3 linked regions of the Drosophila melanogaster genome follow. The protein of the gene in region 2 interacts with the protein of the main gene of each other region in a pairwise test. Each region holds a gene or a part of one and is shown on either strand. Other genes may lie near its edges.

Region 1 (5,880 bases), on a different chromosome or scaffold from region 2:
CTCTCGGGTATTCTTTGTGAAGTCAATCGCAAATTGACTTGGAAAATATATATGGATAAATCAAAATCAAACAAATCGCACTGCCACGGGAAATCGATAACTTTTTTTTTTTTTGATAGCTCTGATTCCGTGCTAATATTGAAAAATATTAGTAACGCTTTTAACGCGCTTATGTATCGCAAAAATTGAAATTTTTGGTCTCTCAACTATTCTGCAAAGGGAAAGAAAATAAAATTAGGAATGCGCATGAACGAACATATGTATACCACTCCGTACTAAGTATTTCTTACATTACTTTAGTTTAGCTCAAATTTACTTATAATTTCGAAGGAAAAAGGTTAATTTAACATTCAAGTATATATATATTTTACATATATATCTTTTCCTATTACTTATGTATTCAGTACTTTTGTATAATGGCCATAAAAAACACTGTTGAAGCGTGATTTTTGTGTAAGCACGAAGTAAAGTAGCTTTATGCAGATATACACTAGACCCAACGTTACAAAAATTGTGGAAAACTGAATTATTTAGTATAGATATATATAAATGTACATTTTCATGCACGTATGCATTTACATATGGATGAAAGCCACGCCATTTAAACTTTTGAGGTTGTGTTCGTTTTGGTCACAATCACTTTTCAATACCTTTTCCACAAGTTTTCTATAAAGCGTTTCTGATCACAATGAAAGTAAATTAATAATTTTACTGAATTAACCGTTTAAGAAAAGATTTTCTCCGAAGTCCACGAACATACGACTAAACGTCACAGCACAATATGACCATAACGACTTTAGTGGGCTGCAGCCTATCACTATCGATTGGCCGAATATGATGTGAATGAATTTTAGCCTTTTCACACTTTCACTTTTATATAATTTATATGGTATTTATTAAAATGAAGATATGTAATAATACGCTTAAAAACGAAAGACCATTTTTAAAAATGAAGTTGACTAAAATAGAAACAAATATATGTGTTATATAATTAAACGTAGTTCCAATCAGCCTTTTAAAATATATGTTATAAGAGTGGATCATCTGTATTTCTTCTATATTCCAATACCAATATACCACATTTTTTGTAGAGGATATCTTATTTATTTTATTGAAAAAATGTTTAAAATATTATTTCAAGAGCCACATTTTAAATAGTATCGATACCCAACTCGCAGTGAGTAAGCACTAGAATGTAACTACGGGTAAGATATCGATTGTCCACGTTTTCACTAGCAAATATAAATTGCATTTTATGGAATACTTATCGATATTCTTACAGTACTGGAAAACTTTTTCATATCGATTTATTTTTCTGCGTATACAGAACGTACTTTCGTTTCATTGTTGTCCAAAAAAGATAATAATATTATATACTTGCGGTTATTTACAACTGCAAGTAATGTGTCACTAATTTTTAGTGAAAATAACACAAAATACGACTTGTACGGCAAATAAGTATACGAGGCAATCACGATAAATAAAAAACCGTGAGTATGGAATTTCAAGTGGACGCTTCTCAATACTTACATGCACATATATCGATGTGTGGATATGTACATACACCTTGTTATAAACAGTTTAAATCTTTTCTGACGTAATAAAATCTCAAGAATGTACATGTAAAACCAACAAAATGTTTTCAAACTGCATTCAAATTAATGCTTAACCATAACCTTGTGTGTATGTAAATATAAACTTGGCAGGTTGATTTTTTTTTACCATTCTGCTGGCACTAAACATACGTACAAGTGTATGTATGTGATGCACTCGGCGTCATTTATCTGTACATGTGTAAAATGTAACGTTACCTGTGGTACACAGCAATAAATAAATAGAAATAAGTTCATAAATAGTTCGGGTAACTGCCCAGCTTCGTGCTACGCATCTGAGATACTTTTTCACCCCCAAAAAGATATGCCGCTTCATGAGATTGCGACAGGTGGAGATTATTGCATTTCCAATAGGATACCAAAATGTCTTTTCACTTTTGCTCAAATGTCTGGGGGATTATTTTGTGGTGGGGTTTGTGGGTTTAATGGCTTTGTTGGTATCTCTTCTATAGATATGATGAATTTTGTAGCAAAAGATTTAATTGGTGTATTTGTTTTCAGTTTGTTAAGTATACATTAACTCAAGTTTTTACTACATTTTTAAGGGTTTCAAACTTATGTTTTTATATAAAAAAGAAATATTTATTAAATAATAAAACACTAAAAAATCGAATTGGTAGAAAAAATATTGGGTTATTTCCTTTTTTCTTGCATGATTTTAATATTTGATGTTTAATATTATTACAGAAACTTGGATTTGTAGCTTGCTTTGTGTTGCGGCACCATGGAGGACCCCAATCGCATGTTGGCCCACACCGGCGGCATGATGGCTCCGCAAGGATACGGCTTGTCTGGCCAGGATGATGGCCAGAATGCCGGCAGCGAGAACGAGGTGCGCAAGCAGAAGGACATCGGCGAGATATTGCAACAGATAATGAGTATCTCGGAGCAATCACTTGACGAGGCCCAGGCCAGAAAACATACACTAAACTGTCACCGAATGAAGCCGGCACTTTTCTCTGTACTTTGCGAAATCAAGGAGAAGACCGGTAAGCTTAAAACCCTATATTTATCTCTCATTCAAGACCATCAAATAAGTTGAAATGGTATTATGGATTTTGTGATTTGCTTGTGATACAATTGATTTACTAAATCAAACACAATTCTTAACGTAATAGTCTTAAAACGTTCAGTATGAAATTATTTTTATCATTCGTCTTCTTCGTTAAAACTATTACAGTCCTCTCGATTCGCAACACCCAGGAGGAGGAGCCCCCAGATCCGCAACTGATGCGCTTGGACAACATGCTGATTGCCGAGGGCGTGGCCGGACCCGAGAAGGGCGGTGGCGGAGCAGCGGCTGCCTCTGCGGCTGCGGCCAGCCAGGGCGGTTCCCTGTCCATCGATGGTGCTGACAATGCCATTGAGCATTCCGACTACCGTGCCAAGCTGGCACAGATCCGTCAAATATATCACCAGGAATTGGAGAAGTACGAGCAGGCATGCAACGAGTTCACCACGCATGTCATGAATCTTCTACGCGAACAGAGTCGCACGAGGTTGGTGTATATAGATAAATGCAAAATGATGGCCATCATTTGGGTAATATAATCGTATTTCAGACCCATTACACCAAAGGAAATCGAGCGAATGGTGCAGATCATCCACAAAAAGTTTAGTTCCATACAAATGCAGCTGAAGCAGTCGACCTGCGAGGCTGTAATGATACTTCGTTCGCGTTTCCTGGACGCACGCCGCAAACGCCGCAATTTCAGCAAGCAGGCATCCGAGATTCTCAACGAGTACTTCTACAGTCACTTGAGCAACCCATATCCATCCGAAGAGGCCAAAGAGGAGTTGGCACGAAAGTGTGGCATCACGGTAAGTAGTGTAGGGCACATTAATCAACAATGCAAATCCGATTGCAGCATAGTAAATAAAACAAAACACACTCATGCAGGTCTCGCAAGTATCGAATTGGTTTGGCAACAAGCGTATTCGCTATAAGAAGAACATTGGTAAGGCACAGGAGGAGGCCAATTTGTATGCGGCCAAGAAGGCGGCTGGTGCTTCACCGTATTCCATGGCCGGTCCACCCAGCGGGACAACCACACCCATGATGTCACCCGCTCCGCCACAGGATTCCATGGGCTATCCAATGGGCTCCGGCGGATACGACCAGCAGCAACCGTACGACAACAGCATGGGCGGCTACGACCCAAATCTCCATCAGGATCTAAGCCCCTGAGGATCAGGGCTGTGAACCACTCCCAGTCCGGAGAATCCCTCATACAGTTGCGGTCAAAATAACTGCGCTGAAAAATCTAACATGCAGTTTTTTCATAATTATGCGGCTTATATTTGCTTCTTCGCCAAGAACAACAATTCTTAAGGGATTTTTAAATTCAGCTTTCTGTCCTTTGGTTTCGAGTCAGATAAGTTTAAAATTCCCATCAATTTAGATATAGTTCCGATAGATATACATAAATACGTGAGTAGAATATAAATACGTAATAGTTAGTTTGTGCTTGCTACATTTTGGTTGGCAGAAAAAACTTTGCCTGCTTAAATCAAAAAAGAAAGTAAATAAGCTGATATGGTTTTTTAATTGACACAGTCTCCTGCTTTTTAACAATATATGCATGCAGGATGTATTAAGAAGTCGACAATTGAATAATGGCCTAATTAAGAATATTTTTTGCCCGAACATAAAACGAAAAGTTTGCTCGCTTTTTTTTTTTAATTCACAATCAATTGAAATGGAAAGCATGTTGTTTGTGGCATGTCAACTGTAAAATACATAAATACGTAATAATTCGCTTAAGCGATTATAATTTGATCAACGTTCTTTAAAAAGGGTTAATAACCAATGCAGTGACTTTTTCTGCATAGCCCCATTTAGCTTATATATTAACCATCGAAAACATATGCAAAGAAACTCGATTAAACTGGTAGTATACGAATATTTTCACAACGAGTGGAGGAGGCACAAGTTTCAGAGCTATTATTTTGACCGCAGCTGTGTATAAATATATTTTAATACATTTACCTACATTTGCGGGTATATACAAATATTGCATGTAAATCATACTATGACGATTCTTTTTTGGCTACAGTACGTATACGACAGCAAAATAGTGTTTACTGAATTTAAAACTGTACGAAATTTTTAAAAACTTGAACAATACGAAAATACGAAACTAAACCATGTATACGATGTATATCAAATAAATAAATAATACATGTTGTTGTTATCCGCACACACGTCAACTAATTACAAAAATATTTTGAATGTAAAAACGGAAAAGAAAAGTCTTGGATAAACAAAATGTCACATTTCTATCGAAGGACGAATTGTATTATTTAACAGCTTATAACATTTAATAGATTTATTAACGTGTATTTTAAAAGTCTCAAAACAATTGTTTGTTTCTTACATCCTAAAAAGTATTAAACATTAAATCTTAATGGATTTCTTGCTATAAAAACGAACTTCCCAACTTAATTGCATTATAAAATCAAGAACAAATTCGTCTTTCGCTTAGTAAGAAGTGTACACTACTCTTTGCCCCCAATTAAAACGGATATGAAAACAGATTATTTGAAAGTATACAAAACGATTATAATTTTAAATGATAAATAACATATGTCTTTGACAGACTTTCGCTCACATTACGGTCAAATGAAACCATTCAATGTATTTCAGTAAGTAAGGTACTGCATTAAACATTTTGGATAACAATAGAAAAATATATAAATACACAACTTTACACAAATAACTTAATAAATCAAAACGAAGTATTAATTAATGGTTTTTTGGGAGTATTAAAGAAAAGGGCGTTATCCTTTGCAGATAATCTATACACGTAATAGAAAGAGATGGAGCATCTGTAGATACACTTGCTCTTCTTTAATTAAAACTATCTGGCTCACAGATAGAAATCATTCTTTTATGTGGGGTTGGTCAATAAAAACAGAAGAATTTTAATTTTTTAGATTTTTGGCAGCTGTAAAACAGACAAAAAATTTTAATTTTAGGCGTATTTTATTTTTATTATGGTTCATTACGGCTTAATGTACTTCACCCCACATCTTACAGTTATTCCCAAAAGTGTGTAGTAATTTATATAAATCACTTTGATCGACCAATTTTAAATTTATAAATAATAAAGTAGAAATTTTAAAAAAATTCACCCGCTGCCCCAATGCATTCCACAATTTAAGAACACGTTCCACTTATCTAGCACTCAATCGCCGCTACCTTGACGCGCATGCTGGCACTGCCCGGAATACTTTGAATTGTCAATACGGCCACACTGTTGGCAAC
Region 2 (4,996 bases):
ATCAAATGAAATACAATTTATATATATATATATATGTATATATTATTGCCTCGCACGCTTACGAATTGCTGATTCTGCGTTTTGCGGCTGCTTGGCTATTTCTATTTATTATTGTTGCCATATCGCTGCATCTGTTGTTTTGGACGAATTTGGCTGAGCCATCTGAAAGTGTGTGTTTTCTGTTTTCATTTGAAAAGTGCTTGCGCAGGAGTATAGCAGATATGGCGAAAGGTTTGCCATCAAACATGCAACGATTAGCTGGCCAAAATACATCTTTCCACCGCTGAATAGATGAAAGACATCCGAATTTGTAAACTATCATTCATTTTCAACAAATTTATAACTTGGACAATTTAGCTTTAAGGGTATTAGAGCCTGTACCATCAACCGAATTGCGTTGTATTTGCCTTTCAGATCGATAGAGATAGAGCGCAGAAAAAAAATACAAGAATATGAGGCACACATGGCTGCCATTGTGTTTCTGGTCGAATTTTAGTTCCTCGGACTTTTGTGTTTAAATTTAAACGTTTGCCTGCTATTTTGGTGGCTGCTTTCGCTTTGTTTTGCGCCCCGTGCACCACCAAGTGTGAAATTCTTTGGGCAGGTGTGCATTTTTTCACGCGCGCAGTCGGCGGCAAACACACAACAACAAACATTGCGCAAAAACACAGAGCATCAAACGGATTGGGGGGGGGGGTCGTACGAGGCGTGGCAGTGGGCGGCATCGCCTGGCATTGACAATAAATAACCGTTAGCTAGTGGGAGTGGGCAGCCCATACACAATCAAATTTATTATTTGCCAAAAAAGGGCAGTGACAAGAAGCGGAAAACGTTGTTGCGCCAAAAAAACTAGTAACAACAAATTCAGCAACATGTACAGTTATCGATGGACTATATATATAGAAAATTCCATGGCAATGCAAATATTGAAGTGGAAACGGGAAAAGCGGCTCTCTCTGCCACATATTTCCATATTTCTATTTATTCTATAGCGAAAACTACATTGGGTAGGAAGAATTCTTAACGACTGCAATACAAATTCAGTGGCTAATAACTATAAATTTAAGTGTTTTTATAAAGCAAATTCCTCAGCATTTCATTTTTGCCCAATGACGAACAATTAGCCAAAAATTTCATAACCGCAATTAACTTTAACTTTAAGGCAATCAATAATTTCAATTGTGCCTGCTGCTTTTAAGGGTTTGTAATCAGTCTAGATACCCCAAAAGTGCGCAAAAAGTTGCGGGGAATACAACAAATGACTAAACAACTAACAGTCGCTATAATTTGAACTCTTTATGTGGCAGAAGTTTGTCTGTATTTCCGTTTTTGGGCAAAAACAAAAACACCATTTGTAATCCTCTTCGGAGTTTTGAGCACTGCGAGCAATACCAACAACATTCCCGTTGCAAGTGCGGCAGTATGTGGCTGGGAGGGGAGAGGTTTAGGGAGGGGGGAGCCCAGAGTTGCTTGTCTGTCTGCCTCTTCATGTGTGCGTGTGTGTGTGTGTATGACGTATACGTTTGTATGTGTGTGATGGGTACAGGCACGTCGAACAGTGAAAGGGCGAACGAACAAGAGAGAAGAGAGAGAGCGATAGAGATAGAAGAAGCTATGACAAAAACACGACAAGCGCAAAAATTGTAAGAAAACTAGAAACAAGCATCAATTTGAATGGACATTCGTAAGTTGATCAAACTTTTTCACTTGGTTGTGTATTCAAATCGGCATAAACACACACAAACAAACAATCGCAACGGTTGTTGAGTAAGTGTGTGCGCTTGTAATTTGCAATCAATATGCGGGCGCAGGAAATAAAAGCTATTTATACTTTTAAAGCTTTAGTTCGCGAAGAAGAAACGATAAGCAGCACTTTCACCCTTTAAAGGCTTTTAATCCGAGCGAAAGAACGAAAACTCCCGGTTGAAATGTGTCAACATGAGGCTTTAGTTGGTTTTCAAACTCGTTGCTTTTGGCCTCTCCCTCCCACCCTTTCTCTTGCACTCGCGCTAGCTCGCTCTTTCTCTCTCTGTCGCACCAAATGTGGCGGCGGCAAAACAACAACGATGAGACAGCATGTTGCAGTGGCGTGGGCAAAAGGGGGGTGCTTGAGAAAAGGGGGACGTTGCGCAGTGAACCTTGCGTGTGTATTGTCACTAGGCGGGCGGAAAAAAATATAAATTACAAAGAGAGTGTATGTATCTGTGGCTGTGTGCGTGTGCGGGGAAATTATTGCACAATTTTATTTATGTTTTGCATAGAATATGGCAGGCATTGCTCTCTCTCTCTCTCTCTCACTCACTCACACACGCACTCACTCGACTTTTGCATTAAACCGCAACAATACTTGGTCATGTGTGTGTGCGTACCCACACACGCACACCCGCATCACCTATACAGGCAATAGCAGTTCCGCTTTAAAATTCATCAGAATTCTGCACGTTTAAATTTTTCTTGTACACGTTTATCGCACACTCACACACACGCACGCACACAGGCACAGGCGCACACTCGTTGCAAACGGAAAGGCAAATGGGAAATATATGGTGTAGTAATCCGTGGAAAAATCGCCGCTGCCGCGGATTTTCGATTGTGGTATTATTAAATAGCTGAAACGCAATCAGCGGCGCACAATTTGATTTTCAGCTCTCGTTTTCGCCTTTTTTTCTCTCGCTTATTCGCCTATTCCTTTGTGGCGGCGGCGACGGCGGCGTCGGTTTTCTTCTCTCTTTTCTTTTTCTTTTTTTGCGAGTTCACAATTGGGCAAGAAATTCACGTGCCAAAAACGCGGCCACACACAATTTTCGGGGACAAACACTTGGCGGCGGGTCTCATGCACCGTTGCCGACCACTTTTCACAAATTTTATGCACTTTTTGGGCAGTTTTCCCACAATTAATTTACCAGCAACGCGTCCAAATTCCACTCGCAGCTTTCAAAATGGCGGAATACGAACACGGCGGATTTTTAGGTTTTAGTACAGCAATGACGCTATGCGAACAGTGTGACCGCACACGGGTCGTTCGAAAATACCTCGGTGCGCGCAGGCAAACTGCAAGAATTATGGTATAGTTTGAAATGTTGGTATTGCAGAATTCCGACTTTCGACTTCCGTGAGTTTCAGTTGTATATGTTATGCGATTTCATTTATGGAAATTAATAAAAAACAACACTTAAATAAAATTACGTTACCTTATGTATTGTATTTTATTTGTGTGATTTATTATTTAGAATAATAAAAAAGTATTAATGGTATATATGATTATACCAAAAAAAAAACGATATTTAAGTACTTAATGCAGCCCTGAAGAAGTGTGACCGCTGATCAGCGAATCCAGAGAACGTGTTTATTTCAAAAACAAGACGACGGTCACACTGCTGTACCAATAACAAAGAACTCGTTTTTTCTACAAGTAACGGCCAGTTAATAGCTCTTACTAACTAAACAGACCGATTAGGGATCTCGCACAAAATGTCGGCCAGAAGAGCAACCCATGCAGGCAGCTGGTACACGGACTCGGGTGAGTAACAACCCAGCTGCGGCCCAGAAGATAACACAATCAATTATTGCATCGCCTATGGGTGTGGGATAAACGCATATGTATTGCACCTGTGCGTGTTTGCCTGTGTGTGTGTTTGTGTGCGGGTAATGAACCTTAGGGTGAACCAAAAATGTAACTACAGGTCACCAATTCAGAAGTTCTTTTCCGGATCCGAGCCAACCGCATTGCGAATCTCGTCCATGCGATCGTATGCGATTTCGGTGGCCCAGCACAGACGCTTCTCCAGCTCGCTGTTGCGCCGCCGCTGCTGACGCAGTGCATCCAGTCCGCGTTCCAACTGAGTGCATGCCTGGAAGAAGGTGCTCAGCTCGGGTATGTCGCCGAATTCGCCGGGATGCCGACGGAATCCCTGCGTGGCGTCCGTGGATAGCTTGTCCAGGCGATTTTGCAGGAAACGCTGGTCGAACATCATCTGAAGCTCTGCAGTCGTCGCTTTGCCCAACTCGTTGTTGGATTCGTTTAGGTGCAGGTCCCGTATGCGGTCCTTCAAGCCCGTGAAGCTAACCGACTCCAATTTCTCGCCAATGCCCTGGAAGAGTTCGTAGCTCTGCTTGAGCTCCAGCTGCATCTTCCGGACATCTTCGTCGATGCTTTTGGCCGCTTGCGATTCAAGGAAGTCGGCACGGGCACTGGCCTCCACGGGCGGAGCGTCATATCCTGATCTTAGCGAATAGCTCGAGGATGTGGAGACCGGATCCGATGGCTTCTCCTGGGCTCCACCTCCAGTTAAACGATCTTCAGATGATCTGGTACCCGACGACGAACTCTTTGTACTGCCAGCGGACGAGGAGGAGGCCTTACTATTGTTCTTCTTGGAACTCCTCGATTTTGCTTTCCTTGTTTTCCTTATGGGCCCGAAAATGGGCAGCGGATTGGGACTCAGGAGCAGTTCCTGTGACGCCTCCTTGTCGGAATCATCAGCAGCCCTGTTGTAGGATTATAAATGGATTGATTTTTTTCTTCTTTTATATATATATATATATATTGGGTAACTTGATAACTTACTCTTGAGATAATATAGCTGTAAGCTCGTTCCGAATGCGATTCATGAGCTCATCGCTTTGTTTTTCCTTATCAGTTTCCATCGCGGAATGTTCAACTAAAATTTAAATCAATATTTAATAACTTTATATCGCTGCTGTGATAAGTCTCGATTTAGTGAAAGTCTTATAAACCAGGAAATATTTGTTTGTTTGCTGCTAGGCAACGACTGGCCAACTATTTTCGTTGATTTCGAAACTGAAACCAATTCCTGAGCAGGGAATTATGGTTTACGATATTATTTATTCGTTAATAAATGTATTTACTTTGCTTTTCAGGCGCCGAGCTCTCGAGACAGTTGGATCGTTGGCTGGGTGCCGCAGATTTGTCCCATGGACCGGCTCGTGCCATCATTGCTCCGTAAGATTTAACCGAATTCTTGCAATAAGCACC
Region 3 (7,560 bases), 7.6 Mb from region 2:
GCAGTTAGAGAACACTTAGTACTTACACGCAGAGAAAAGCATAGATGATAGGCATAGCAATTTACCCTCGTAGGCGTGGCTCCAGTTTTCCTTTTAGCAATTACGTGCCATGTTCAACACAAGACTTGATTTCACATTTTCCACATTTGACTGACCTTTAGGCATACATATGTATCGAATCCCGCGGCTTGAATTTGATTCCCATCACTCTTTGTTTTCCAGTTTGGCATGCAAAATTATGAAGCAAATCGGCAAATTAGTTAAACAATTGGCAAAACGTCTGTGATATTTGAATTATGTTGGCAAACGGAAGACAAAACTAAATTTAATTTATTACGTTGTGTGCCCTCTGTTGTAATGTCTTACTTTTTACTTTGTGCAATATCTACTAAGCATATATTCTTAGCCGTTCTCGTGCAATCGACGACTTTTCGCCCATATCAAAAGCAACTCGAATGTAGCCTATACTTAAACTAACCTACTGATAATCGGACATGATAGACGCGTAAGACTTACATTATATTTTGCATTAGGACTTCAGAGTATCTGAATAACAATTGGCGGATGGCCGCGGTGGCGAAAGCGACATTACGAGTTGTGTTTAAATTTAAGAAGCTGAAGAAGGGTTGTACTCCGCATGCAAGGGCTATTTAAATATATATTTTAACCCGCCCGAGCTCACCATTACCAGAAATTCGATAAACGAGCAAACAGTATTATACGCAATAAAAAGACACCTGCAACCATAAGTATTTACCTAGCTGATGTGTGGGAATTTATCGTAACATACCATATTATCGCTTAATGTTTAACTTCTGGACTTAATAATAAATAAATATTTTATTCTACGACAAAGAAGAACTTTTCAATGTAACATTATTAACTGCTTTAAGTCATATCCTTAAACTTTCGCCTTGAAAATCTTTAAAACCCTACAGGTATTCCAAATTAATAATCTCAGGTGCTAGAAATTTAATTAATATATTTTGGAAACAGCATAAATTAGTGAAAATACAACATTGTTTTAATCAAACATTTTTAAAAGCATGTTTTCGGTTGCAAAGTTTTCCAATTTCAATCCTGAAATTAAAGTTGAGTTGAACAATTGCTATAAAAAGCGACCATTTATTACGTTTTATAAACTGTCCCGATTGTGATTTTAGTTGTTTATTTTATTTCATATTTAAAACCGTTACTATTTTAAAAATCGTTCGCTAAAGATTGTGCTTTTAAGCATTGATAACTATCGCTAATTGCCAGAATTCGTAATCTTATTTGACTTGAATTGTAAAAATATAGGATTTAGGATTTTTACCAAATAGATGTAGTTCAAAGAACACAATTCTTTTTATTATTAAGCATTTTATTTTGGGAGTTCCTTGCACTAGCTTTTTGCAGCGACCTGTGTGTAAGCTTACATTGAGATAACATTAATGTGAACGTGCAGCGAATGCAGCACTATAACATTGGCCAGTGGAAACATGATATTTGCTAGCATGCTGACTGGCGCCGTGGATTTTGACGTTCTTAGTTGACGGTCACACAGCGCACCGAGCTGCGTTTTTCGTTGATAATTTTTAAATTTATTTATTAGTTTATTGGTTGGAAATAGAGCTGCCCCCAACTGCCCGCTGACCACGGAATTATCGGTCCGGTCCACCGACCTCCGCTTTCACACACTATTCGGCAATCGATATATACGCTGACGGTAATTGGAGAACGTTTTTTCCATTTTATCTCCACCTTGTCCGCACTTCGTTTTGTGCTCTCTTTGTGCGCTGCCTCCGCTTAACATTTGGGCCTGTAAGAAACACATATAAGCAGAACGGCCCGCCGTGTGTGCCTGTGAAATTGGTTAAATAACGTACAGTGGAATGGGCCAATGGCCAAAATGCAATAAGAATATGTGTGTGCAATAAAAATAGGGAACGGTACCGTGCCCCAAAACATGAAAATGGTGCTAGACGCTCCTAACGCCGTGCCGAGCTGGCATATTTTGCTTAGCGACGCCGTCGGCTCCGTTTTTCCCGGCCGCGAACTTTGCGCGAGGAATTTACAACAAAAACAATGAATTAAATGGTATTTAAATTGTCCATATAATGCGGTTTGGAAATGCGAAATTGTGCCTAACTTGCCCAATGCAAACGAATGTTTCTCTTTGAAGGCCCTGCTTAATGACGTCACAAGCGTAGCAGAGTGCAACAGACAGACAACAATGACCGATGAGCATAAAAGTAACATTAACAGTAACAGCAGTCACTCCAGCAACAACAACAACAACGGCAGCAGCAGCAATAACGACAACAACAGCAACGACGACGCAGCAAGTAGCAGCAACAGCAAAAACAACAACACCAGCAACGAGAGCAGCCACAGCAACAACAATACTAGTAGCATAATTGCAGAGGCGGCCGCCAAGTTTCTACTGAAAAATGGCCTAAACGGCAGTAGCAGCACCAGCTACCCCCCTCTGCCACCGCCTCTGCCCGCCAACTTAAGCAGGACGACCACGCCCACGACAACGACAACGCCCTCATCCTCCAGCTCCACCGCCTCAAATGGCTTTTTGCCGCATGCCAAGACGCCCAAAAGTAGTAGCATTATGGCTGCGTCCGCCGCAGTGGCAGCCAGCGTCGTTGGAGCTACTGCGTCCAAGCCCACCATCGATGTCCTGGGGGGCGTCCTGGACTACAGTTCCTTGGGCGGAGCTGCAACAGGCTCACTGCCCACCACTGCAGTAGTAGCGGCGGCAGCGGGAACAGCGAAGATCGGCAAGGGAAGCAACTCCGGCGGAAGCTTTGATATGGGCAGGACACCAATATCGACGCACGGCAACAACAGCTGGGGCGGCTACGGTGGTCGTTTGCAGTTCTTTAAAGGTAAGTATCTTGGTTTATTTATACCGAATCAGAGCAGTGTAAAGAAAACCATTTTTTAACTATTCTGCGTAGATGGCAAATTCATATTGGAACTGGCGCGGTCCAAGGATGGCGATAAAAGCGGCTGGGTTTCGGTCACGCGCAAGACCTTCCGCCCTCCATCGGCGGCCACCTCCGCAACTGTGACCCCAACGTCGGCGGTGACCACAGCGTATCCAAAGAACGAGAATTCCACATCGCTGAGCTGTACGTAACACATGGCATAGTAGTTCCCAACGGATTACCCCTTCCATTTAATTACTTGACCCGATTGGAATCAGATTTGAGTAAAAGGAATTGGATTTTGAAACATGTGTAGATAGCTAGCTTAATCCGAGCGGTCAAAGCTTACAAACACTTGCAGTTATAAAAAACATGTGCCTATTTGACTTAAATTGTTCTAATGGCACGTAGAGGATAAAGTCCAATTTCGAAAACAAAAAATCTGTAAAAAACGACCGCACCTATGTTCAAATCTCTGATCTATTTTAAAACTGTATATATCGGCCATCTCTAATATTATATTTAAAATCTACGAAAATGTCAAACGTTTTAATGAAATAGTAAGAAAAAACCAAACTGTTCAGAATCGGTCATGTTCTTTGTATGACAGTTTTCCAATTCGATCCTATAAAATATAATGTCCTCCCATCCTTGTATACATTTAAATCCTATTTCATAAATTGTTAACAATCTGAATCAAACAAAAGCAAATATTTATTTATGCCAAACTATAATTAACTACTACAATTTGTCTATGTATACCTTGCGTTAATATTCCTCTTCATTGCAGTTTCGGACGACAACAGCTCGATACAATCCTCTCCTTGGCAGCGAGACCAGCCCTGGAAACAGTCCCGACCCAGGCGCGGCATATCTAAGGAGCTGTCGCTCTTCTTCCACCGCCCCAGGAACAGTACGCTTGGCCGAGCTGCTCTCCGGACAGCCGCTCGCAAACGACGGCGCCCCCACGAGCCGCTTACCACCAGCGAGGATCAGCAGCCCATTTTTGCGACGGCAATCAAGGCGGAAAATGGAGACGATACTCTTAAAGCAGAAGCTGCAGAGGCCGTTGAAATTGAAAATGTTGCTGTGGCGGACACAACCACAAATGAGATTAAAATTGAAAAACCGGACACGATCAAAGGCGAGGATGATGCTGAACGGCTCGAAAAGGAGCCGAAGAAGGCGGTTAGCGATGATAGCGAGTCAAAAGAAGCATCGCCCGGTCAGCAAGTGGAACCACAACCAAAAGATGAGACTGTTGATGTTGAGATGAAGATGAATACGAGCGAGGATGAGGAACCCATGACAGAGCTGCCCAGAATCACGAATGCCGTAAATGGTGATCTAAACGGCGATCTAAAGGCGAGCATTGGGAAACCAAAATCCAAGCCGAAGCCAAAAGCCAAGCTCAGCAGCATCATTCAGAAACTCATCGATAGCGTACCAGCACGGCTTGAGCAAATGTCGAAGACATCAGCTGTGATCGCATCGACAACGACGTCTTCAGATCGCATTGGTGGCGGTCTAAGTCACGCCTTGACGCACAAAGTAAGTTTTACTTGGCACAACCTGCATAAGCTGCGGTTTCAAATGTTAATCATGTACTGCAACATTTTTATTATGTTAAAGTTGTAAATCTAGTTAGGGACTTTCATAAAGAAAAAACTTTGAATTGACCACTTAAATATCTTCTTTTAGGTTTCTCCACCCTCTTCTGCGACAGCAGCCGGACGACTAGTCGAGTACCACACCCAGCACGTGTCGCCCAGGAAAAGAATCCTGCGCGAGTTCGAAAAGGTGTCGCTAGAGGACAACGGATGCGTAAACAACGGCAGCGGTGGAGCTAGTAGCGGTGGTGCTGGAGGAAAACGGAGTCGAGCAAAGGGAACTTCGACATCGTCTCCGGCTGGCAAGGCGTCACCAATGAACTTGGCGCCACCCCAAGGAAAGCCAAGCCCCAGTCCCGGCTCCAGCTCATCCAGCACTTCGCCAGCGACCTTGTCAACGCAGCCAACGCGGCTCAACAGCTCTTACAGTATCCACTCCCTGCTAGGTGGGAGCAGTGGCAGCGGTAGCTCATCCTTCTCCTCCTCTGGCAAGAAGTGCGGCGATCACCCGGCAGCTATTATCAGCAATGTGCACCATCCACAGCACTCAATGTACCAACCCAGTTCCTCGAGCTATCCACGCGCCCTGCTCACCTCGCCAAAGTCGCCCGATGTGAGTGGCAGCAATGGCGGGGGCGGAAAATCGCCCTCGCATACAGGAACCAAGAAGCGTTCGCCACCGTACTCGGCGGGATCACCCGTAGACTATGGCCACTCCTTCTACAGGGATCCCTATGCGGGAGCAGGTCGTCCTTCCACATCGGGCTCAGCATCGCAGGACCTGTCGCCACCGCGCTCTTCCCCAGCATCGCCAGCCACGACGCCGCGTACTGTGCCCAAAAAGACTGCATCGATCCGACGCGAGTTCGCTTCACCGTCGGCCAGCAGCAGTAGCTGTCCCTCGCCCGGCGACCGGAGTGCATCGCCCCCGGAACGGCGGCACATGCAGCAGCAGCCGCACCTACAGCGTAGCTCGCCGCTGCACTACTATATGTACCCGCCACCGCCCCAGGTGAACGGGAACGGCTCGGCCGGAAGTCCGACCTCGGCGCCGCCCACGTCGAACAGCAGTGCAGCTGCAGTAGCGGCGGCAGCAGCGGCCGCAGCCGCATACATTCCCTCGCCTTCGATATACAACCCGTACATATCCACACTGGCGGCGTTGAGGCACAATCCGCTGTGGATGCACCACTATCAGACAGGAGCGTCGCCCCTGCTGTCGCCACATCCACAACCCGGTGGCTCAGCGGCCGCCGCTGCTGCAGCTGCTGCTGCGAGATTATCGCCCCAATCGGCCTATCACGCGTTCGCGTATAACGGAGTGGGAGCGGCTGTTGCCGCTGCAGCAGCTGCGGCAGCCTTTGGACAACCGGCGCCCAGTCCCCACACGCATCCGCACTTGGCCCATCCGCACCAGCATCCGCACCCGGCTGCACTGACCACCCACCACTCTCCCGCTCACCTGGCCACGCCAAAACTGACTGATAGTAGTACCGACCAAATGTCTGCAACGTCCAGTCATCGCACAGCCTCCACTTCGCCGAGCAGCTCGAGCGCATCGGCCTCCTCCTCGGCGGCCACTTCGGGCGCCAGCTCCTCCGCAATGTTTCATACTAGTAGTCTAAGGAATGAACAAAGTTCAGGTAAGCATTCAATCAGTGCACCAATAATGGCAAGCAGTTTGATGATTCAATTTTCATTCCTCTGGGAATGTCTGAAGAAAATATATTACAGATCCATTTATTATGTTGTCAATTTAATGCACGTAAAACACAATTTAATAACGTTTCTTATTTATTTCTTCCTTAGACTTACCACTGAATCTGTCAAAGCACTGAGACATACACACGCCCCAGCTGCCCCAGTTTCTGGGCCAACCATTCGAGTTAAGAACATTTTCGCACTAGTAGCGCTTAAGACGACATTCAATACACGTAATATAATTTGATAAGTTCGCTGATAGTTTAGTTGTAACCCGATTGTTTAATCCTAAGCCTAATCCTAGGTTCTCAATTAGGGCCGAACATTTAGAAATCGCATACAAAAAGAGATGAAAAACTCAACTTTGTTTTTAAACCCGTTCCAGAACTCTTTATACAATCAGTTGAGAAATTTTATTTTCGACAAACTGAATAAAATATGCAAAGGAATTTTATTCTATGCCGACTAATGGAAAGAAATACTAATAAAAACATTTTCTATAGGATGTATAAAATGCAAGTCTTAAAGAATCTCAAAAAAGAGTTACGTTTTTTTCATCAAAACATTTCCTTGAAACAGACTGAACCTGAATTTTTTTAGAAAAAAAAAATGAAAAACTTAGTTACGAATCGCAAAATATAACATTTTAAAGTATATTTAACAAAACTACAAGAACAGATTTTTATAAAATGCTTGTGCCTTTAAAAATGGAAACAGAACTAGGGATACAAAAATTAATATTAAAAAGAAAAAGAAGTTTACTATAAAAACATTTATGTGCAAGCATGTGCAGGTATTCTATGGTGAAAACTTTAGAATTTCTTGATATCGTGGTCCAAAATGCAGTTGACAGGAATTTGCACTAAGCAGATTGTATACGACACCAACTTTTTAAGTACTTTTAAAAATGTATCTTTTAATTATTTCGGAATAATTATTCTAAAATAGTTAAAAGATAAAAGCAATCCAAAACTATACAACTCGTCTGTACTTCAAAACGAAAGAGATTACTCTTTGGTCTTACATTTTTTGGTAGACTGTAAAAACTAAAATTCGAAAAAATTGTTGAAGTTTGAATTTAAATCCTCGGCGGATCTAAATTTAACCTCCACGATTGTTGTCACCATCAAAAATATTATATAACTGTGCCTAGTGCACATTCGCTGTCAGTGGCTGTCCAATCAAAAACAAATAAAATGTACAAAAAATCCACATATACGACAAATTTACAAGAAACGGAAAGCAAAAAGATCCTAAGCAGACAATTTCAAACCGGAACTCGTACAACTGAAACTGATACAAATAAAAAACATATTCCTAACGCAAAA

Evidence for each region.
Region 1: the proteins of CtBP (region 2) and exd interact in a two-hybrid assay, tested with the Drosophila melanogaster proteins (2 studies listed by BioGRID, with this or other methods).
Region 3: the proteins of CtBP (region 2) and H interact in a two-hybrid assay, tested with the Drosophila melanogaster proteins (5 studies listed by BioGRID).

The regions. Positions count from the first base shown.
Region 1 is NC_004354.4:15,991,172-15,997,051, forward strand, and holds exd (extradenticle), read left to right. Parts: upstream 1-1,528; 5' UTR 1,529-1,753; intron 1,754-1,764; exon of another isoform or gene 1,765-1,942; intron 1,943-2,300; 5' UTR 2,301-2,337; coding exon 2,338-2,602; intron 2,603-2,793; coding exon 2,794-3,112; intron 3,113-3,175; coding exon 3,176-3,434; intron 3,435-3,513; coding exon 3,514-3,801; 3' UTR 3,802-5,338; downstream 5,339-5,880. UniProt on the Drosophila melanogaster protein: Transcription factor which acts with the selector homeodomain proteins altering the regulation of downstream target genes such as wingless (wg), teashirt (tsh) and decapentaplegic (dpp), thus affecting segmental identity.
Region 2 is NT_033777.3:13,009,656-13,014,651, reverse strand, and holds the start of CtBP (C-terminal binding protein), read right to left. Parts: upstream 3,004-4,996; 5' UTR 2,904-3,003; exon of another isoform or gene 2,480-2,903; intron 1-2,479. Other genes in the region: CG11656 (uncharacterized protein), read right to left, coding at 3,693-4,488, 4,568-4,647; CG8031 (uncharacterized protein), read left to right, coding at 3,472-3,520, 4,882-4,963. UniProt on the Drosophila melanogaster protein: Corepressor targeting diverse transcription regulators. Hairy-interacting protein required for embryonic segmentation and hairy-mediated transcriptional repression.
Region 3 is NT_033777.3:20,620,420-20,627,979, forward strand, and holds the start of H (hairless), read left to right. Parts: upstream 1-1,518; 5' UTR 1,519-2,076; coding exon 2,077-2,079; exon of another isoform or gene 2,080-2,164; coding exon 2,165-2,879; intron 2,880-2,951; coding exon 2,952-3,125; intron 3,126-3,711; coding exon 3,712-4,472; intron 4,473-4,622; coding exon 4,623-6,174; intron 6,175-6,340; coding exon 6,341-6,369; 3' UTR 6,370-7,560. UniProt on the Drosophila melanogaster protein: Is a potent antagonist of neurogenic gene activity during sensory organ development. The expression of distinct cell fates by the trichogen (shaft) / tormogen (socket) sister cell pair depends on the level of H activity.